Linked DNA regions of Notamacropus eugenii. The main gene of each other region encodes a partner of the protein of the gene in region 2 in a complex. Links are inferred from orthologs where the notes say so. Each region holds a gene or a part of one and is shown on either strand. Other genes may lie near its edges.

Evidence for each region. Proteins that work in one complex are often made in the same cells at the same time.
Region 1: the proteins of SLC9A1 (region 2) and CHP2 are in contact, whole or in part, in a crystal structure (PDB 2BEC), measured with the Homo sapiens proteins. The link is inferred for Notamacropus eugenii from reciprocal best matches to the Homo sapiens genes SLC9A1 and CHP2. Residues at the interface, in NP_003038.2 of Homo sapiens: Ser517, Ile518, Asn519, Glu520, Ile522, His523, Thr524, Gln525, Phe526, Leu527, Asp528, His529, Leu530, Leu531, Thr532, Gly533, Ile534, Glu535, Asp536, Ile537, Cys538, Gly539, His540; in NP_071380.1 of Homo sapiens: Arg30, Arg34, Leu38, Leu51, Ile54, Ala56, Leu57, Asn60, Pro61, Leu62, Ile66, Phe70, Phe83, Leu87, Phe90, Tyr118, Ala119, Leu122, Tyr123, Met136, Val139, Leu140, Met143, Ile156, Arg159, Thr160, Glu163, Ala164, Phe177, Ser180.

The regions. Positions count from the first base shown.
Region 1 is NC_092874.1:489,501,494-489,511,126, reverse strand, and holds the start of CHP2 (calcineurin B homologous protein 2), read right to left. Parts: upstream 4,485-9,633; 5' UTR 3,382-4,484; coding exon 3,315-3,381; intron 2,761-3,314; coding exon 2,688-2,760; intron 2,430-2,687; coding exon 2,349-2,429; intron 2,108-2,348; coding exon 1,977-2,107; intron 28-1,976; coding exon 1-27. UniProt on the Homo sapiens protein: Functions as an integral cofactor in cell pH regulation by controlling plasma membrane-type Na(+)/H(+) exchange activity.
Region 2 is NC_092876.1:68,266,876-68,277,154, forward strand, and holds the start of SLC9A1 (sodium/hydrogen exchanger 1), read right to left. Parts: upstream 4,122-10,279; 5' UTR 3,165-4,121; coding exon 2,819-3,164; intron 1-2,818. UniProt on the Homo sapiens protein: Electroneutral Na(+) /H(+) antiporter that extrudes Na(+) in exchange for external protons driven by the inward sodium ion chemical gradient, protecting cells from acidification that occurs from metabolism.

The sequences.
Region 1 (9,633 bases), on a different chromosome or scaffold from region 2:
TGTCCATGTCGTAGAGTTGAAAAGCAACTGGATGAGAAAAAGAAAGTAGGATCAGGACAGGGATGGGAGCCTCTTCAGTCCTGGCCTGTCCTCTGCTAGAGGCCCTGCTGCCCCAGGTCCAGACCATGCTACCATCACACAGTGGCTGGAATGGAAGATCTGGCTCCAGATTCTGACATCTCAAGGCTGTGACTCCCCATCCTCTTTGGCAGTGTGGTTCTCTCTTGGCCATGCCTAGCTTACCAACTGTCTCCAGCGCAGATTACCACCCACCAGGGTCCCTTCCCCAGGACCTACAGGATTAAGTTAGACAAGCAAGTATGAGGGATTTGTGAGGGAATATGAAGGATCATTGGGGCTCAACTGGGGACATCAGAGTGGTACCAGCCACCACCCTTGCCCTAAGGAGGCTTAGTTCCCTCCCACCCTAGTCACTTACCCCTTCTGTCTTTTCTCACATCACTGCCCAAGAGTCTAGGACACCACCATTCTTCCCAGCCTGAGAGTCACCCTGACTCCTCCCTCCCCTTCCCCCCAAATATCCAACCAGTCACCAGCTGTGGTGGACTCCAGCTGTGCAACACCCCTTCCATCCATCCCCTTTCTCCAAGGACTCCTGGGCATCACTCTACTGAAGTCCTCCCTCATCACCTCTCTCCTGGACTCCTGCCTTTACCTCCTAATTGATCTCCCATCCCCATCTCTCCTCTCCAATTCAGCCTCCCCAAAGCTTCCAAGCCACTTGGTTTAAATCACAGCTCGGAGCAGGCATGTAGTCGGCCTGCAGTCAGCCTTTCCAGGTGTACTAGTCCTACCATTGCTTCCTCCACACACTTTCTGGTCTACTCCAGCTGGTGCAATGGAACCTTTGCTTATAGCACCTTCCCTCCTGACCTCTGTCCCACCTCACCCTGGATTCCTTCCAAGCTTGCCAAAGAGCTGTCTCCTTCCTGCCTGAGGTCTATGTGGATCTTCCCACCCTGTATTACCTGCTCTATCTTCTGGTAACTTTCCCCTGAAAGAATTCTAGCTTCTTGAAGGAAGGGCCAAGTTAATGTTGGTCTTCCTATCCCACTGCCTGGCATGGTGCCTGGCATATGCTTTGAGTGAACGAATGCCACACAAAAATTGTTGGATTGTGTGCGATCTCAGACAGGCAGTCAATTTCTGCCCGTTCCTAAGGCACCTGCTGTGTGCCAAGTGCTAGAGATGGCTACCAAGCCCCATTCTTGGCCTCAGCGAGATTCCATTGACACCACATCTATATCAACAGGTGCGTACAGAATAGACATAAGGCAATTTGTCTGCCTGGGCCTTAGTTTTCTCATCTGGAGAATGGGGAGACTACATTGTCTGATATCTGAGGTCCCTGCCAGCCCAGGCAATCCCAGACCTGTCCTCATGTTCCAAGGCCCATGCCACAGGTTGATAGAAGCCCCTTGTCTCCACTGACGGGGCATGGGGACAAGTCACTTTCCTATTTCTCTTCCTACTTCCCCACACATACCCACTCAGTCACTAAAGTTCCCTCCAGCCTGCCTAGACCCCTGTGGCTGACGCCTATGGCCTTCCAGATCACTCTCCCTCTTCCCAGGAAGTTCAGGAACTGGTCCAGTCTTCTCCAGCTCCCAGGCCTGGCCTTGTCCAATTCCCTGGTTACTCGCCTCCTCATCCTCCTTCACTCCCAAGATCTTTAATTCTAGTTGGCTTCAGATTTGCATAGGAATATTTGGGATCTGGACTCCGAGCCTCTCCTCACCCTTGCTCAACTGTAATTGTCCCTGTTCAAAATACCCTAGTCATGGCATGGTGAGGAAGCAACCTTGGTGTCTGAGGTCATTGTTCAGATGGGGAAATTGAGGCTCAGAGAAGAGAAGAGACACACAGAGGCGAGGAAACAAGGGAGGTTAACGGTCAAAATGAGGATGGAGTTTCAGGGGACATGATTTTCCATGATTCCCCCCAATTCTACTCACAACGCAGTTTGCTGTTGCGGCTGTTTAGAGGCTCAGGCTTCTGGGGGTCCTGAGCAGCTGAGTCCTTTCCTTCCAATGGTCGAAAATGGGCCAGGACCCAGACAAAGCCTTGGAAATCCACACACTGACCCCTGAATGAAAAAGTCAGAATACCCTCCCAAGCTTCTATCCCCAAAAGAGGTAAAGGCTTCAAGGTCTGGGACCCAGATCTTTGATCTAAGCAAGAAAGAGTGAACTCTAATATAACCCTTCATCTTGATCCCGAAGGGTCTGACCCTCGGGGGCTCTCATCCTGTCAGTTCTGTTTCCTAGGGCTCCCCCTTCTTCCCCAAGGCTCCATCCACTCACCCTCACCCAAAGCTCTGTCCTCACCCATCCGGGAAAAAGCTGTCGATGATCAGATCTGCCAGCGGGTTCTGTTCAAGTTCTTTTATATTGTATAGATCCATTCGACTGTTGGGGAAGGAGTGAGAAGTTTCAGTGTCAAAAGTCTGGTCGGGAGACTTTGGGAGGGGAGAGGGAGAATAGAAGAGAAGGAACATTTTCATACGAGGGGAAAATCCTGCAGCATGCTTTCACATTGAGCTGAGGGGTCACAGGGGACACTGGATCAGGAGTCAGAGGCCAAGGCGATTCAGTCAATGGCTTGAAGGCTGGGCGTCCCAGTCCTATATGTTTGAGGGTCATAAGGGTGGGGTGGACTCTGCTCACCTCAGGAAGCCCTTATTATTCCTGTCCAAGTACCGGAAGCGGTGATGGAGGCGATTGAGATTGGCCCGAGAGACTGGACAGTGGGAAGAGAAAAGAGTCAGAGCTGGGTGCCGAGGGCCGAGGAAGAATCGGTTGGACCAGAAGAGACTCAAGGCTCAGAATTCTGGACTCAGGGATCAGAGGGTTCAAGGTCAAGATTTGGGACTGACTACTCAGAGACTGGGGGTCCCAGACTCAGAGTTCAGGATTTAGGAGACCAGCAACGACTCAAGATCCAGGAGCAGAAAACCAGGGACAGAGAGGCTGGAGCAAGAAGGGTTGGGCTAGGTGGTGGTGAGGCGGACGAGAATATATCAGCCCGCTTCCCCGGCTCAGCCCGCGCCCCACTCCCTCCAAAGCCCTCGGGGAAGGTGACCAAGAGAGCATCCCGCCCCACGTCCCCGCCAGTCCCCTTCAGCCGTTGGGGACTCTGGCGACAGGGAGCCGGGAAGCCTGTGTTTGGGTCCCAGTCCAGGCTCCTACTTGGGGATAGGCGGAGCTATGTCCCAGCCCCTCCACCCCAGTCCCTGCCAGTCCTTCAGGGCTCTAGGAGCCTCAGACACTTGGGTCCGCAGCAGTCCCACTCACAGCCGGTCTCCTCTAGGATCAAGTTCAATTCCGGCTCTCGTTCGAGGTGCGAGCCATGAGATCCCATGGCTGTGACGGTCCCTAGGTCAGGGCAGGTCCCGAGTCCAGGGTCCAGGGGCCTGGGGTCCCGACCCAGATAGGCTCAGGACAGAGTCCCACGTAGAAGCTCTGCCTCCTACACTCTCCCCGAGAACCCAGGCGTCACCGCAGCCCCTTCCTTAAGCAGTTCCTCTCCCTCCGAATGAAGACGCCGAACCCTGGAGAACGAGTTCCCCTCTCTGAGTTCGGAAGGTCGGAGGAGTCATCCAACTGCCGCCAGGCCATGCTGGGCTCGAGAATGCATTTAGGGTTCTCCCACATGCCTCAGTCGAAGTCCTCCAGTGCTACGGAAACAGAGGTTTCGCCTCAGTCGAGCCCCGGAGGAGAGAAAGTGAGGGGGTTAGAGAGAGCCAGAGCGGTATTCAGGACTGATCAAAAGGTGCCCGCTGCCAGACTTGAACAGGCAGAGGCTGAGAAGGGCACTTTACAGACGGGAAGCAGACCAACTCCAGAGGGGAAAGGGTTTGACTTGGCCTAAAGACCAGTCCGAAGCCTATCCCTCCCACAGACTCGTCTAAGCCCTCACCCTAAAAAGACCCCGATAGGACCCACCCCCCCGCCCCTCCAAGACTGCTTCCGACCTGCTCCTTTAAGACTGGAAGCACGGTCAGAGGGAATCTGAGAGACAACATGGCCTGCCAATGATCGAGAAGCAAAAACAAACGAAGAGAAAGACGAAAACGAAACAGAGACAGAGAGACACACTGGATGACAGAGAGAGATGCGCTGAAGGGAAACACACAAATACAATGGGGAGAGAAAAGAGCTGCTCTCATGCTCTGTAACTGATCAGTTCTCCTGAAGCCCGGGGGCGTTTGTTCTCTCTCTGTCTCTCTGTGTCTCTGTCTCTGTGTCCCTCTCTCCTCTCTCTCTCTGTCTTTGTTTCTCTGTGTGCGTCTCTCTCTTCCTCTTTCTCTCCCTCTTACTATGGTTTGCTCTTAGTCAAGGCTCAGGATGTGAGGAATGATTCAAACTTTTGTTTCCATAGAAATTATGTAATATATGATTTATGAAATCTAGGGTATTGATACATACTGGGAAGTTTTTTGAGTTGCAAGTGCAGGAAAATAAATTAATTGTAGAAGACTAACAACATAGACTAGTACTAGATTATCTTGTAGCCGAAGAAGAGGGAAAATTGAGATGTAATGGAGAACTTTGTTTCCCTAAATTCAGAATAACAGTCAGCAACATGGGAGACATAAGGAAGGAGTTATGTCTCACACGTAGGCTAACAGGCAAAGCAAGGATCCAACTGGTTTTTATCGTGTTTTGGGTTAGAAGTCAGCTAAGTAGAGGAAAAGTTAAGTCTTGCTTGAAATGCTCATGTCTATTAGGAATATTAACCTCCTCTGGGAGAGCTAAAGCTTCATTTTAATGGTCTTACAATACATGAAATGGGAGGGGAAAACATGAGAGGGAGAGCTATGTAGTAGGCATAGGGGAAAGTTGTACTCCCTGTATTACCCAGCCAAGGAGGAAACAGGAGAGGGACTTTGTGGGTGGCCACAGGTTTTTAAGGTTTACTTTTGTTTCTGGATGGTGTGTCTATTTTATAAGCCACCATCACTGCAGTTAGCTTAATAAACTTTTCTTTTATCTTCATGCCTCCCAAACCTGAATGTGTTATTTCTCACAAGGAGACAAAAGGAGAGGTTTTGGCCCTGTACCTGCAATGGAATAACAGACTTTCAGAAAGATAGAAGTGTTCTGTCCAACTCATCTGAGACATGGAGATAAAACAGAGAGGCAAAGATCTGAAATATAAAGGTCAGAAGAAGAAAGGGAGGAAGAGAGAAGAGGAGAGAGCCAGGTGGGCAGGGAGAGGGAGCAGAAGGGATTGAGACTGGGGAGGGAAGGAGAAAGACACAAGGACAGACAGAAACAGGCAGAGTCCTACAGAAGCAGGAAGAACATACAGAGAAGCAAAGGCACAAAAGAAATTTTTAAAAAGACATAAAAAGAAACTGGCAAAAACAGAGAATAAAACTAGAGCCACATGAGATAAAGAAACCAAGTCAGAGCCAGAGATTTGGCAAGAAGCAAAAACCCCCAGAGAAGAACAGGAAAAAAAGCCCCAGGAGATGCTCAGATGTCAATAATGGTCACCAACTCTCAGAGTGAGAAGGGAGCTGAAGTGCCTCCAGATTTAGGGAGACCTGAAAGACCCTCCCTCCCCCTCCTCCTCCTCCCTCTCCTCTTCCTTTCTCCCTTCCCCCTCCTCCTCACCCCTCCTCCTCCTCTAGCTTCACTGAGCTAGCCCATCCCACTTTGGGCTCACTCTGATGAATGGTTAGAACCTCCCCCACCCCTACACCAAACCGAGGTTTGCCCTTTTCACTGTCTGGTTCCCTCCCCCAAAATATTCCCCTGTCTGTCCTGCCCTCTGAGGGCAAGCAGAGGAGCAATTCCTCATCCATCAGCTTGTCTTCAAGGGCCTGGAGGACAGATAGTCATCCCCAGAAGTTTCCTCTTTTCCAGGCTTAGCATCACAAGTCCTTGGGTTGCATTTTAAAATGTCTCTGAGGCCCCTTCACCTTCCTAATTGTCCCATCTGTCCTCCTACGCTGGGACACCCCTTATTGAACACAGCATTCCATGTGTGGTTGGACCAACCCAGGGAACAGTAAGAAAGGTGATCCCAAGATCCTCTTAATGCAACTTCAAGGAGCATTACAGTTAGACTTGGTTTCCTACACTGTCTTGTAGAGAAAGCATGGTATGGTAAAGGAAAATGAATGAAAGAATGTATAAATGAATGAGTATCATTGTGATGAATACTGTGTGAAGTATTGGGGCAGCTGGTAGAGGCTGGTCCAAGTGGATTGTTCCATTTTTAGGACTCTTCATTTAGTCATTTGGAAAACACAGGGGTCAATCAGCTCTCCAGTTCAGCTGACATTACTCTTAGCTTCGAAAGAATTGGTGTTAACTACAGCAGAGTGTTTTAACACATTGTTGTCTCCTTGAGATGATAGATAGTGGCTTTAATAATGAATATTTGAAAGGGAACTTAACTGTATTTTGCTCTGTTGTGCCAATAGGACACTGGGAAGGAAGTCCAGAGCAGCTATAAAATTGTTAGAAAATCACCCTTTTGCAGTAGGAAGACAAGAAGAAGACAGCCAGGGTGAACAGCTGTGAATCGTGGTTTGGCCTGGTTAACGGGGTGTGTCCAACCCCTGCTGGCTCTGTGACCAAGCGAGCCAGATAATTCTCTGATATTGGCAATGCAGGTGCCCTTCCGCCTTGATAGGAGAAGATCCCTCACCGAGAATTTTCCTCCACAGATGAGATCACAAATCTAGATGAAAATAACAACAGAGCGAGCAGCAACAGCAACACGGCTGACCCCAAACCCTTCTCAGCTGAATGGCTGTCGAGTCATACTTGGCCATTTTACTTTAGCCATTCCTGGCTATCTCACACTTTTGTAACTTTTCTTTCTCAGCCTTCTTTGCTCAACCTCTGTCAACTATGTGATAGTTGTGGGTGTCCCCCAGGTCTCTGTCCTGAACCTGCTTCTCTTCTCCTTCAATTTTACTTGATGATCTTATCAGTTCCCATAGATTTATTTCTTCTCTTTATGCTGATAATTCTCAAATCTATTTATTCAGCCTTCAGTATTAATTCAGTATCTCATCTCCAACAAGACATTTCAACCACACCCAAGACTGAACTTAGCACCTTTCCCTAAAACGTTCCCCTCTTCCTAATTACCAAGGAATCCCAAATTCCCAATTATTATCAAGGGTACCACCGGTCCCACTTACCTAGACTCTCAATTTAGGGGTCATCCCTTCATACAGTCACATCAAGTCCTATTGTTTCTATCTGTAACATCTGTCAAATATGGCTCTTTTTCTCCTCTGCCCCTTATCACCTGAAGCCTGGACTATTGAAATAGATGCTGGTTGATCTTTCCACACTTGAATCTATCCTTCAGCTGTCCAACTGATGTACCTTAAAGCCTAAAGTCTAATCATGTCATTTTCCAAGTCAGTAGGGGCTCTCTATTACTTCAGGGATTGAATATAAAATCCTCTATTAGTCCCCTCCAACCTTTGCAGCCTTCCTACATCCTATACCCCAGTATGTGTCCTGTAGTCCAATGACACTGATGGCTCTCTTCCTGGCACAATGTGCCATCTCCTAACTTAAACCACTTTCACTAATAGTTTCCCCCCCTCCCCTTCCTCACCCCTGCTTCCTCTGGTCCTCTTGAATCTTCATATCTGCCCTTGGTTGAGTATGGCCAGCTTCTCCTGGCTGTAGCTTGTTTGCATGAGTTTTTTCATGTTGTCTCCATGAGAGCAGAGACTGTCTTTTACCTTTCTTGGTATCCCCATTACTTAGCACAATGCCAAGCATATAGTTGGGGGCTTCACAGATGCTTGCTAACTTGTGCAACTAATTTACTGGAGCCCAAGTATCAGACTTTACACTTGTCATTTTTGACAAGAAATTGGAGAGAAATAAGCAACCACAGAATCGTCCCAGCATTCGAAGGACTTAACATTCTACTTACTGGGAGTCGGGAGAAGAGAGGATGTGTCTTTTCAGAGATGGCAGTGAATCCACCAACCTGATCATTTGGCAATGGAAGTCTGACACATTCCTATCTGGAAAGTTTCTTTCCCTGGTAGTCAGTGTGGGGGGAATGACACACTCGACATCAGGAAGACAAGGATTCAAACCCTGCTTAAGCCCTTGTTAGCTTGTGTGATGGTGGGCAAGCCACTTTCTCCATCTGTCAAGTGGGTATGATCACACCTCATTCACAGAGTCATCAGAGGAACAAATGAAAAAAGTCTATCTTTGCAAGTTTGAGGCACCATACGGATCAACTCTTAAGGCCCACAAGTGAGCACCCACTCACTCCTAGAAGGCCTCCAGGAAGCCCCACTTTGAAATGGACTGCATTTTCCCAGAATTAGGTTTAGATTCCATGGTCGTTGAGGTAACTCATTCTGTGCTCTTGTGCATGACCGGGGCTGCAACACAGTGATTATTCCTCATGTCCCATACAAGAAGATCTTCAGGAAGGGCAAGGTGCAGCATATGGACTGTTTGCCACTTTTTCTTCTTATAATTGGACAGAAGTATTGATAGCATTCGTTAATTGTGAGGATGACTCACAGAACCCCATTAGGGTTAGGGATGATGAACAAACTGGTTGCCTGGGTCAGAACTGAAGAAGAGCTTGGCAGGCTAGAATATTTGGAAGCATCTAGTAAGATGGAATTGAATGGATTAAATTTAAAAACTGTTACATAGATTGTGGAAACATTTGAGCTTTTGGTCTACTTTTCTCAATTGAGTTACTGTCTCATCCGGGTTTTGAATACTTTTCCAGTTCATTTGTTCAAATGGTACTGAATCCACCAGATGATATTTTAATCTCTGTCTCTCCACCCTTTCACGAGGATGCCATGAGAGGTTTCTATCACATGCTGTGCTAAAATTTAGATGAAATTTACATATCACTATGTGAAAAATGGCACAAGTAGAGGAATGAGAGGAAGCAGGGTGACCAATTCAGAGGCCATTGAATCATTAAAGTGAGAGATAACGAGGGACTGAACTAGGGTGAAGACAACTAGGTGGATATCCACAGTGGATAGAGTGCCAGGCCTCAAAGATGTTTTTCTGAGTTCAAATCCAGCTTCAGGCACTTAGGAGTTACAAGTTTTATCTTTCCATATAGGGATGTAAACAGTTTTTGAATTCCTTATGATTTCTCTTTTCTGTTTATCTTTTTATGCTTTTCTTGAGTCTTGTATTTTAAAGTCCATTTTTCTGTTCAGCTCTGGTCTTTTTATCAGGAGTGCTGGAAAGCCCTCTTTTTATTACATGTCCATTTTTATCACTGAAGGATAATATTCAGTTTTGCTGGGTAGGTGATTCTTGGTTAAAATACTAGGTCCATTGTCCTCTGGAATATCATATTCCAAGTCCTTTGATCTATTAATATAGAAGTTGCTAAATCCAGTGTAATTATGACTGTGGGTCCACAAAATTTGGATTGTTTTTATAGCTATTTGCAATACTTTCTCCTTGATCTGGGAGCTCTGGAATTGGACTAGAATGTTCCTTGCAGTTTTCATTTTGGTATTTCGTTCATGAGGTGATTGATGGTTCTTTTCAATTTCTATTTTGCCTTCTTGTTCTAGGATATCAGGGCAGAGTTCTTTGTTAATTTCTTGAAAGATGATGTCTA
Region 2 (10,279 bases):
AGGAAGGGTTAAAGGAGCGCATTAAATAGCAGGACAAACTTGCTACAATTACAATGCCCAAGCGGAATAGGCCACCTTAGGAGGTAGCAAGTGGTCCCTCCAGGGAGGGCTGGCTGACCATTCATCTAGGATGCTATGAAGGGCATTTCTGTGCAGGTATGGGTATGAGAACCTAGGGCAGGGGTGGGGAACCTAAAGCCTGGATGCCACACATAGCTTCCCAGTGCTGAAGGTTCCTCACTCCTGCCCCAAGGGGCAGCAAGGTGGTACAGTGGATAGAGTGTCAGGCCTGGAGTCAGAAAGACTCCTCTCCTTAGTTCAAATCTGGCCTCAGACACTTCCTAGTTGAGTGACCATGGGCAAGTTACTTAACCCTGGTTGCCTCAGTGTCCTCATCTGTAACATGAACTGGAGAAGGAAATGGCAAACCACTTGAGTACCTTTGCCAAGAAAACCCCAATGGGCTCACAAAGAGTCAGACACAACTGAACAACATGAGGACCCTTTCAACCCGGAGATTCAGTGGTTTTAGAACCTAAGCCTGGAGGAGACACTGCAGACTGGCCAAGAGCTGCAGGCACACTCGGTTCCTGGGCTATTTTTCAATCAGCTGCACCTGCAGAAGTGGTAGTGAGTGCTAAGCCCTGCCTCACACACTGAGGCCCTGCCCAAATGTGTCCATGGGAGGAGGGAAAGATTTTTTACTTATACTTATGTTCGTGCCGCTGAAGTCTGTTTTCATGGACTCAAAAGGCGGACACATCATAGTCACATCAAGGTGCCCCAAAGCCAGAACCTTAACGCTCACATCCATGCCTTTGTACATGGACAGTACAGTTTGTACTGTCCTTTATTACCATGTATGCCAGGTAGTAGTATCGGCCACTGGGAAGCCCCGGTTCCCTTCAAGCATCACCTCATGCACTACATCTCCAAAGGACACCTTCCTCCTTAAATTACATTTACATATTGCAAAACATAAGCTATTGGAAGGCAATGGGTTTTCATTTTGTCTTCCTCTTGTCATCTCTGGCACCAAGTACACTGCCAAGCTCATTTATTATTGGGCTAGACTTGTGATTCCACTGACACAGAGAACTCTTGGTAAGAAAATGCCAGGCAACTGTCCTGTAACTTCATCTTAAGAGAGACGCTGAGAACACTGAAGGGTGAGGGACTTGTCCAGGGTCACTCAGCCAGGCAGGGTCAGCAGCAGGACTTGACTCTAAGGCCAGCTTTAATCTAACTGCATCGTCACACCAGTCACTTAATGCCCGATGGATTAAACTGATTGATAAGACAATTGGCATGGTCTCTACCTCAAGAATCATTCCCACTTCACAGAAGGTGAGACTGGGGCAGAGAGAAATTCCATCCTGCCAAGGTCACAGGATTGTTTGGATTGGAAGCTGAGGCTGCTTGACTCCAGACTACTGCCTCATAAGTAGGTGCTGCTGCCTGCAGGAAATTCAGCTGCAGTGGAGGCGCCGGAAGTGTAAACTAGGACCAGGGTCCCAGGCAGCAGGGCCTCTGCCCATCTTGCCTGGGTGCATATCATATTCCTATACCAAATTAGCTATACAGTGAATCAGAAAAGTCAGTACTACCTTTTTGCATCACTATCTAAAACCCAACATCCTGACATCACTCCTGCATGTCCTTGGGAAGGTTCTCCACCAAGCCCCTGGAACATCCAGGTCACCAAAACTCCTACAGCTGGCCCAGGGCCAAACTAGCTTAAAAGGCTTCCCTGATGCAAAATCAGTCAGGGATTACTGGCCATCACAGGGTCCAGACAGGCTGGTCCATCAATCACCCATGTGACACTGGCTCAGTTCACCTGGGCCTCTTCAGGAAGGAGCCACTTTTCAGTCACTAATCCTCCCCAGCCACCCACAATCACTTCTCCAACCAGGATGTCCCTTCCATAGTGCTAAGGACCTTCACCCATCCATCCAGTTCCGGCAGCTCCCAGGCCAGCACCATGGCCAGGCACAGGCTGAGTTTTAAGAAACAGCTAAGTACACACTTGGGACTGATCTGGTAACTAGCCAAGATGAGGCAGACTCCTCCCCAAGCACATATCCAGTTCAGAAATTCCCAAGGTCTACCCAGCCCCATAAGCTGAACAGAGGACAGCATTATAGACACACAAATCATCTCCAGGCTATTCCCAATCAGGCCAGGATGCAAAGCTGACTGCTAAATCTTGGGAAGTGGAACATGGACACAGGAAACACCTGCATTTTCAGTGAACCTCTGAACTCCTAAAGCCCCAGTGGCTGAGATGTCTTAGGGTTCCCAAGATGGGCAGAGGATTGCTGAGAATGGGAAAACAAACTCCTGAGAAGAGTCCTAGACCACCTAAGCACGGGGTCCACCTGGGATTCAAGTAAGTCAGAAAAGAAATACAAACCACCCAGGGCCTCAGTCCCATAGATGACTGCCACTAGGCAAAATGGAAGGTATTCACAGCAAAAATAGAAACAAAAAAGACCACATTCCTCACCACCAAATAACCATCTGGCACTTCGGACCCCAGTGAAAGCGTCACTAGCCTTCACACACACAGAAGGCACAACCAAATCTGTCCCTTAGGCCTGCCCATGCAGTCCTGTCAGAGACTCTGGACCCTTCAGTAATGTCAGAGAAAACAGCCCTGCTGAAAGAATTAGGACTATAGATTTCTGACAGTTGGCCTCAAAAACCCCAGGCTGGGGCAGTGGGGAGCTCTCCCCAACCCACTGGGGTGATTCTATTTGCACAGTACATCCTCCAATCCCTACCACCCAGCTTAGACAGAAGTCACACAACATACCCAGCTTCATCAGACAGGCTAGCAGGATCCAGAGGGAGATCTCAAAGGGGGTCCGCACGTGAGTGTAGTCAATGCCCAGGACAGGGAAAGGCTTGCGTGGCTTCCCGTGAACGGTTCCCGAATAGTTGGTCATCGGGTGGACTTCGTGGCTGACCTCTGGTGGAGCTGAGGTGACATCCCCCTCCCCAGGACCTATGTACAAGCCCATGGTGGACACTTTGGATGTCACTGTATTCTGCAGCCCATGGCTCCTCAGTACTGGAAGCAGCCCCAGCAGGGCAGCCACCACAAACACGGAGGGGAACACCCGGAGTGGTGAGAGACCACAGAAGCCAGGCCCTGTCATCTTCTTAAGTTGTTCTTTGAGGGGAGGGTCCCTCCCACCTCAACAAGGGAAAAGCAGAGTCTGGGACATAGGCAGCAAAGAATCTAGGGAGAAGTCTGGAAATCAGAGAGCCCAAGAAAAGAAATAAACTAGTAAGGGGAGGCGGGGGATGGAATAAAGACAAAACAAAACAAGGATTACTAAGGCAAGCTCATGTTTTAAAAGGATAAGGAACTGCTCTTCTTAGAGGGAGGAGAGTTGTGGGGTCGGGTGAAAAGGGATGTGCACAGACCAGGGGGGAAGGAGGAGAGAGGGGACCAGATTTCCATATGAGGGAGGAAAGGAAAAGAAAGCTGAGGAGCCTGGGAATCCCGGAGCTGAGGGGATGAGAGGGAAGAAGAGGGAGGACTGGGATTCCCAGCTATGGGCAAGGAGAGAGAGCTAGGTCTCCCCTCCACCGAGGAGGAGAGGGAGGAAGGGAAGTTAGGAGGCCAGGTGGAAAGGAGGAGGTAGAAGAGGGAAGCGAGACTGAGGAGAGGGAGAGAGGGGCTGGGACCCCAAAGCTGGTGAGGGGGCAGAGATGAGGCTGGGACCCCCCCAGTGGGGAAGGGAAGGGGAGGCTGGGAGCCCGCAGTGGAGAAGGGGAGGGGAGGATGGGACCCCGAAGTGGGGGAGGGGAGGCTAGGACCCCCCAGTGGGGAAGGGGAAGGGGGAAACCGGGACCCCGGGCAGGTGAGCGCAGCCCCGGAGCTGGGGAAGAGGCCGGTGGCCGGGCGTGCCGAGGTGAGGTTCCCCGAGAAAGGGCGGGGTGCGGAGGCGGGGAAGGGGCTCCGGCTGCTGGGGGCGGCTCCAGAGGGCCGAGAGAGCCCCCCGAGAGAGCGTAGCCCCAGCTCGGCGCCCCCGGCCCTAAGGCTCCTGCTGATCCCCCGTAGCTTAGGTTCCAGGTCCGGCAGCAGCGAACTAAGCCCACCGTCCACCCGGCACCGCCTTTTATACGTACCACAGAGCTGCCGGCGCGGCGGGCTAGAGAAACACCGGCGGAGTCCGCCGCGCCACAGCGCCTCTTAGCGGCGCTCCGGGAGGTGTGCAGGGGGCTGCAGCCGACTGTCCAAGTCTGGACTCAGGACATCGGACCTAGAGTCAATCTGTACGGCTCTGTGCCTCAGCTTTCCGTGGAAATTGAATGGAAGGTGTAAGGAGAACCGCCTGAAGGGTCAAGGGCAGGGAGACAGAGGTAACAGGGTGGGCAGCTCAGTCAGCATGCGTTTAATAAGGGCTTGCAATGTGCTAAACTCCAGGGATACCAAGAAAGGCGTAAACGTTGCCTGACCTCAAGGAACTTGTATTCTAATGGGGGAGACAGACACAAAAGCAAGAGATGCACGTGCTACATATAGGGAGTGCGTGGAGGGGGATCTCAGAGCCAAAGGCACTCCCTTAGCCTGGAGATGGACCTGAAGCTGAGTCTTGACGGAAGCCAGTGACTAAGCGTAGAGGTGACGGAACAGCATCCCCGGCATGGGGGACAGTCAGTGAGTACAAAGACATGCATGGCGCAGGGAGGCATAAGTAAGGAAGATCAAGCAGGAGGGCCATTATGGCTGGGAGCAAGGTGTAAGAAGGCTGGTAAAGTTCGTATTTTATCCCGGAGGTACTAGGGAGCCACTGCATGTCATATCTGGGACACTTTAAGAAAATCCTCTGGGCAGCTGAGTGGAAGTAGAATTGGAGTAGGGAGAGATGAACTAATTAGAAGGTTATCACAATAGTCCAGGTGTGAAGGGATCAAGGCTGCACAGATGTAGTGACTGAATGAGTAGGACAGAACAATCTTGAGATGCGGCAATTGAGACGTGGGATTGAGGGTGATAGTGGAATCAAGGCGGGCACAGAGGTTGGGAGCCTGGGTGACTGGGGGAGCACTTACTTAAATGTGTCAGACCCTGTGCCAAACTCAGGATTGAAAAAAAGAAAGGCAAAAACATTGTTCCTGCCCTCAAAGAGCTAACATTGTAACAACGGAGACAACATGCAAATAACTATGTTATTTACATGCTATGTAAGAGGAAGTCAATTCCAAAAGGTGCCTTCCTTTTGGCAGGGGGAGAGGAATGGAGAAAGACCTCTTGTGCCTCTTCCAGAAAGTGAGATCCGAGCTTTCTTAAGTCTTGTAGAAAGTCAAGATAGAGATGCCCTGGACAGTAAGAGGAGAGTACAAAGGAGGGAAAGATTAGGGATGGGGGTGGGGGGTGCCAAGACAAGATCAAGGATTCCATATTGGACATGCTGAGTTTGAGAAAGCTGGGAGGAAATCCAGTTCAAGATGTCCAAGTTGTATTTGGTGACACAGGGATTGAGAAAGACTATGGCTGGATAAATAGATCTTGGAATCATTTTCATTGGGGTGAGGGAGCTGGTGAGTCAGTCAGTCAATAAACGTTTATTAAGCACGGACTATGTACCAGACACTGCGCTAAATGCTGGGGATACAAATTAGAAAAAGAAAAACACTACCTTCCCTTAAGAAGCTTCCAATCTAATGGGAGAATACAATACCCAAAAGACGACCAAAGGTGGGAGGGTGGGGGGAGATAGTGGAACCCAGACCAAGTAGGGCAGCTGGTGAGAAATGCAGTTGCTAACCTGAGAGCCTCTCTTTAAAATGGAGGTTTGGGAAGGAGTACTTTGCTCTAGCGCTCCAATCCAAGAGGCATAGGGTATTGAGGGCACTGATGAACTAAGTGTGAATTCCAAAGCTGATGCAATCTCAAAGGCAGGGGATGGATTTCCTGGTATTGAGGTTTCTTAGGCGCGTGATCATGGTAGAGTCCAGTTTGAGGATTTCAGCTGGTAGGAAATGCAGATCTAAAGGATCTAAAACCAACTAGAGACCTTCAGGTTTTACCCTTTGTTTTACCGAGAGGAAAGTGAGGGCCAAAGAAGGGTAGTGATTGATATATAGTTTCCTTTGATATATAGTTTCCTACCTAATCAATGTCAAAGCAGTATTCAAACTCAGGTCTTCTGACTCCAAATCCATTGTGCTCATGGACTATAAAATCGATGAATCATCCATGAGTGGGAGGTGTCAGTAGCTGATGAGAGGACCCATGTTCAGGACCCAAAGCAAGAAGTAGTAGAGCAAGGGGTTCCAGGGAAGAATTTTCTTGGAGCTGGGGTAGGGGAACAGCAGAAAGAACTACCACTCTTTCTCAGCCGCTGAATCATCTCGGCTGACACCCTAAGCTGATTTGTTTCCTAAGGGCTTTCCCTATTTGACCTCCCTCTTCTCCATTCTTTGAGTACCAGCCAGGGAAGGAACCAAACCCCAATCTCTGTGACAGTCCTCCCAGCCCTGAGGCACTAGGACCAGGAAATGCCAGCCCCGGAGATGCTGAACAGCCTGGAGAAGGTTATAACAACAGTACTGTAAAAGGTAGGCCACGAGACACCACCAGGGTTAGCCACACCTGGCAAAAACAGGTATGAAAGAAAAAAAAAATGCATATGCCCTCTACATATATGGTCAAGGGGGAAAAGTCTATCTGAGCAACAGCTGTGCCATGAGGCAGCAAAAGGAGCATTGGACTTGGAGTCCTAAGACCTGGATTGAAATCATGACTTTGCCGCTTGCTAACTGGGTAAACCAAGGCAAATCACATAGGCTCACTCAACTCCTGTTTCCTAGGTGTCCTAGAGACAGCCAGGAGGTACAGTGGACAGAGCACTGGACAGAGTTAGGAGGACCTGAGTTTTAACTGTACCTTTGACACTTGCCAGTCCTGTGACCCTGGGCAAGATCTACCTCAGTTTCCTCATCTATAAAATGAAAGGATTAGACTAGATGGCCTCTAAAGTCCTTTCCAACTCTAAATCGATGTACATATTATGTCATTTCCTTTGTCTGGGCTTTTGTTTCCCCCAGAATAAAAATGAGGAGGATGATACTAATGCTACATGCCTCAAGTCAGCAAGCATTGGTTAGGTGCTTCCTATGAGCCAGACCTCAAATCTGGCCTCAGACACTTATTCGTTGTGTGACCCTGGACAAGTCACTTTAACTCTGTTTGCCTCAGTTTCCTTATCTGTAAAATGAGCTGGAGAAGGAAATGGCAAAGCACACCAATATCTTTGCTAAGAAAATCCTAAATGAGATCACCATGGGATGACTGAAAGACTTAACTGAAAAATATGCCAGGTATGGGCAAAGTGCTGTAGAATACAAAAACAAGAAGAAACATAGTTCCTACCCTCAGGGAAATTTTATTCTAATGGGGAAAGATAACAATACTAGGGAGCTGAAAAGAGAAGGAGGGGAAGGAGAGTTACTCTTCACTCTGGAACCATGAGCCATGCTTGAGCTGGGTGGGGTTTGAAGTGAGCCTGTGGTTGGCATGGATGGTTCCTCAAATATAAATTCCCAGGAGGAACTCACCCAAGGGATTGTCCAGGGTATTGTCAGCTGGAACATGGTGGTAAAGAAAGAAATAGGGGCTTATATATCACCTACAATGTCATCTCATTTGATGTTCACAACAACTCTGGGAGGTAGGTGCTATTATGATCCCCATTTTACAATTGGGGAAACTGAGGTAGAGGTAAAGTGACTTTCTCAGTTTAAGTGGCTTTTGAACTCAGATCTTCTCCTGAGTCAAGGCCCAGGGCTTTATTCACTGTACCACCTAGATACCAGAGAATTAGCTTCTAATCTTATAGGGTTGCTGTAAGGAAGCCCTTTTTAAGCCACAAAGAGACCTTTGAGTAGGGGCTTGAAGGCCAACCTGACAGGGATGTGACGGTGGGGATTCCTGTTCAAGTAAGGACCGAACTAGATGATCACTGAGGATGGCCTTCCCCCCTGAGATTCTGTGAGTCTTTGCCATGGTAAAGGAAGTTTCTGTACCTGTGAATGGATAATAGCAGCTAACATTTTATGGTTTGCAGAGTACTTTACATATGTTTTCTTAGATAGGCTCTTGTCCCTGTTTTACAGATAAGGAAACTGAGGCTAGAAATGTTAAGTGACCTGCCCAGGATAACACAGTTAGAGTCTGAGATAGGATTTGAATCCAAGTCTTCCTTACTCTACATCCATTACACGGGGCAGTGGGAAATTTTAAATTGCTCTTATCTGATCTCCCATCTCTCACAACCAGGAAGGAAGAAAGAAATGAAGGAATGAAAGAAGGGAAGGAGAGAAGGAAGGAATGAGGGAGGGAAGGAAACAAGGAAGGAAGGAAGGAAGGAAGGAAGGAAGGGAGTCTTCCAAGAGCTTACATTCTCATTCTAAGATGAGGGGCACAAGAGGAGAATGGGGCAGCTGCTTAATATATTTTTGATTTGATTACTGTACCCAGAGCTGGAGGTGGAGAGGGAGAAAAGAGCAGTATTATACTCCACATAGTGGCAAGGAGGATGGCTAGATGGGATTTGAAGTTGGATCTGCTGTTGGGGCATGTTAAGTATGGTTGGCTAGGTGAGTCTACACTTACTCATTCAATAATCAAGACAGCTCAGTCCCAGGGCAGAAGTTCCAAAGGTGAGTGGATTGACTGCCCTAGAGCCTGGGGCCAAAATTTCTATAGGTCCCATCTGGAGAATGCATATCCAGGTGGAGAGAGGATGAGGGGGCAGCATCTGAACAGGCAGCCAGATGGCTCAGAAGGACAGCTGGATGGAGTATATCTGTTGAAATGATGGGGGAAACAGAGTTCCAAATAAAATGACCTAAGAAAATTTTCATACAATTGTGCCCAGGGAAGACTTCAGAGAGGAGTGGGTACCTTTCAGCAAGATCCACAAAGTCAACTCTCGTGACCAATGGAATAACATGCTGCAGCCAGTCTCCAAAATACAAGAGAGTCCCTTATCAATAGGTCTTTCTTTCCTGGGATGCCCTCCTACCTTCTTTCCAGTTATCTAATTCTAACCATCCTTCAGGGTCTAGCTCAAGTGCCCTTTTCTTTTTTTTTCTTTTATTTTTTTTAAAGACTGCACCTCCCTAGCCTAGAAGCACAGTGGCCACTCTCAGGCCCACTGCTACCACAGATGGGCATGGGAGCTTTGACTTGCTCAGTTTCTGATTTTGGCTGATTGCTCCAGGCAACCCAGCAGCTCACCACACTGATGCCAAACAGTTCAGACTCCCTGATTGTCATAGTCCATTGAAACTCAGAACTCCTGAGCTCAAGAGATCCATCATCCTCAGCCTTCCCAGCAGCAGGGCCTATAAGTGGCCACCACCATGCCCAACTCAAGTGCCTCTTAAGAGAAGCATTTTCAGACCACCCCAGCCCTGTTTTGAGCTCTACCTCCAATGAAATCCAGCAGCACTAAGTTAGCTAGCCTGTTATTTGATGGTATCATAATGTAGTGAAAAGAATCAGGAGTGATATGACCAGAATTTTAACCCAAGGCAATGAAACATAAAAGGCATAGATATCAGTTGTGCCCCTTTAGCAGCAATTGAGCTTAGCATCTAGTTAACAAGAATAATTAGCTAAAATGAGAAACTACCAGATGGCCACTCCCTCCCCTCCCCACCCTCCACTACTAGAGTCATGCCCCAAGTTGGCCCCTCCCTGGTCCAGCTTTGCCTTTTGAACAATCTACTCAGCATAAGGCTTCCAATGTCCTATAAATAACTGCAGTGTCCTGGGATCTTGGTCTCCCCTTCACTCCCACCCCCAGACACTCACCATCAGGCAGCCTTGCCATTTCTCCCAACTGAATTTATCTTCAAATGTTGAGCTGGTGGCACATGTTGTTTAGCTTGCCTTGGGCACCAAAATTCCTAGTGATAGCTCTAGAAAGAGACCTACATCTGTAGATAAAGGACATGAGTACAAATTTCATCTCCATTATTACCCATGTAACCTTGGATGAACAACTCGACCCTTGTCTTCCTCATTAAAACAAAGGGGTTGAAGTAGATGGTTTCTGAGGTCTTATCTGCCTCTAAATACCATGATCCTACATTATCTTACTGTGTAATACCACAGTGAACTAGAAAAATGACTGGGTTGAAAGTCAGGAGACCTGAATTCAAGTCCCAGCTCTAACTATATGACTTTGGACCCTAATTTCCTCCTCTATTAAATGGGGAAGTGGGGGGAAGAATACCTGTACTTCCCAGG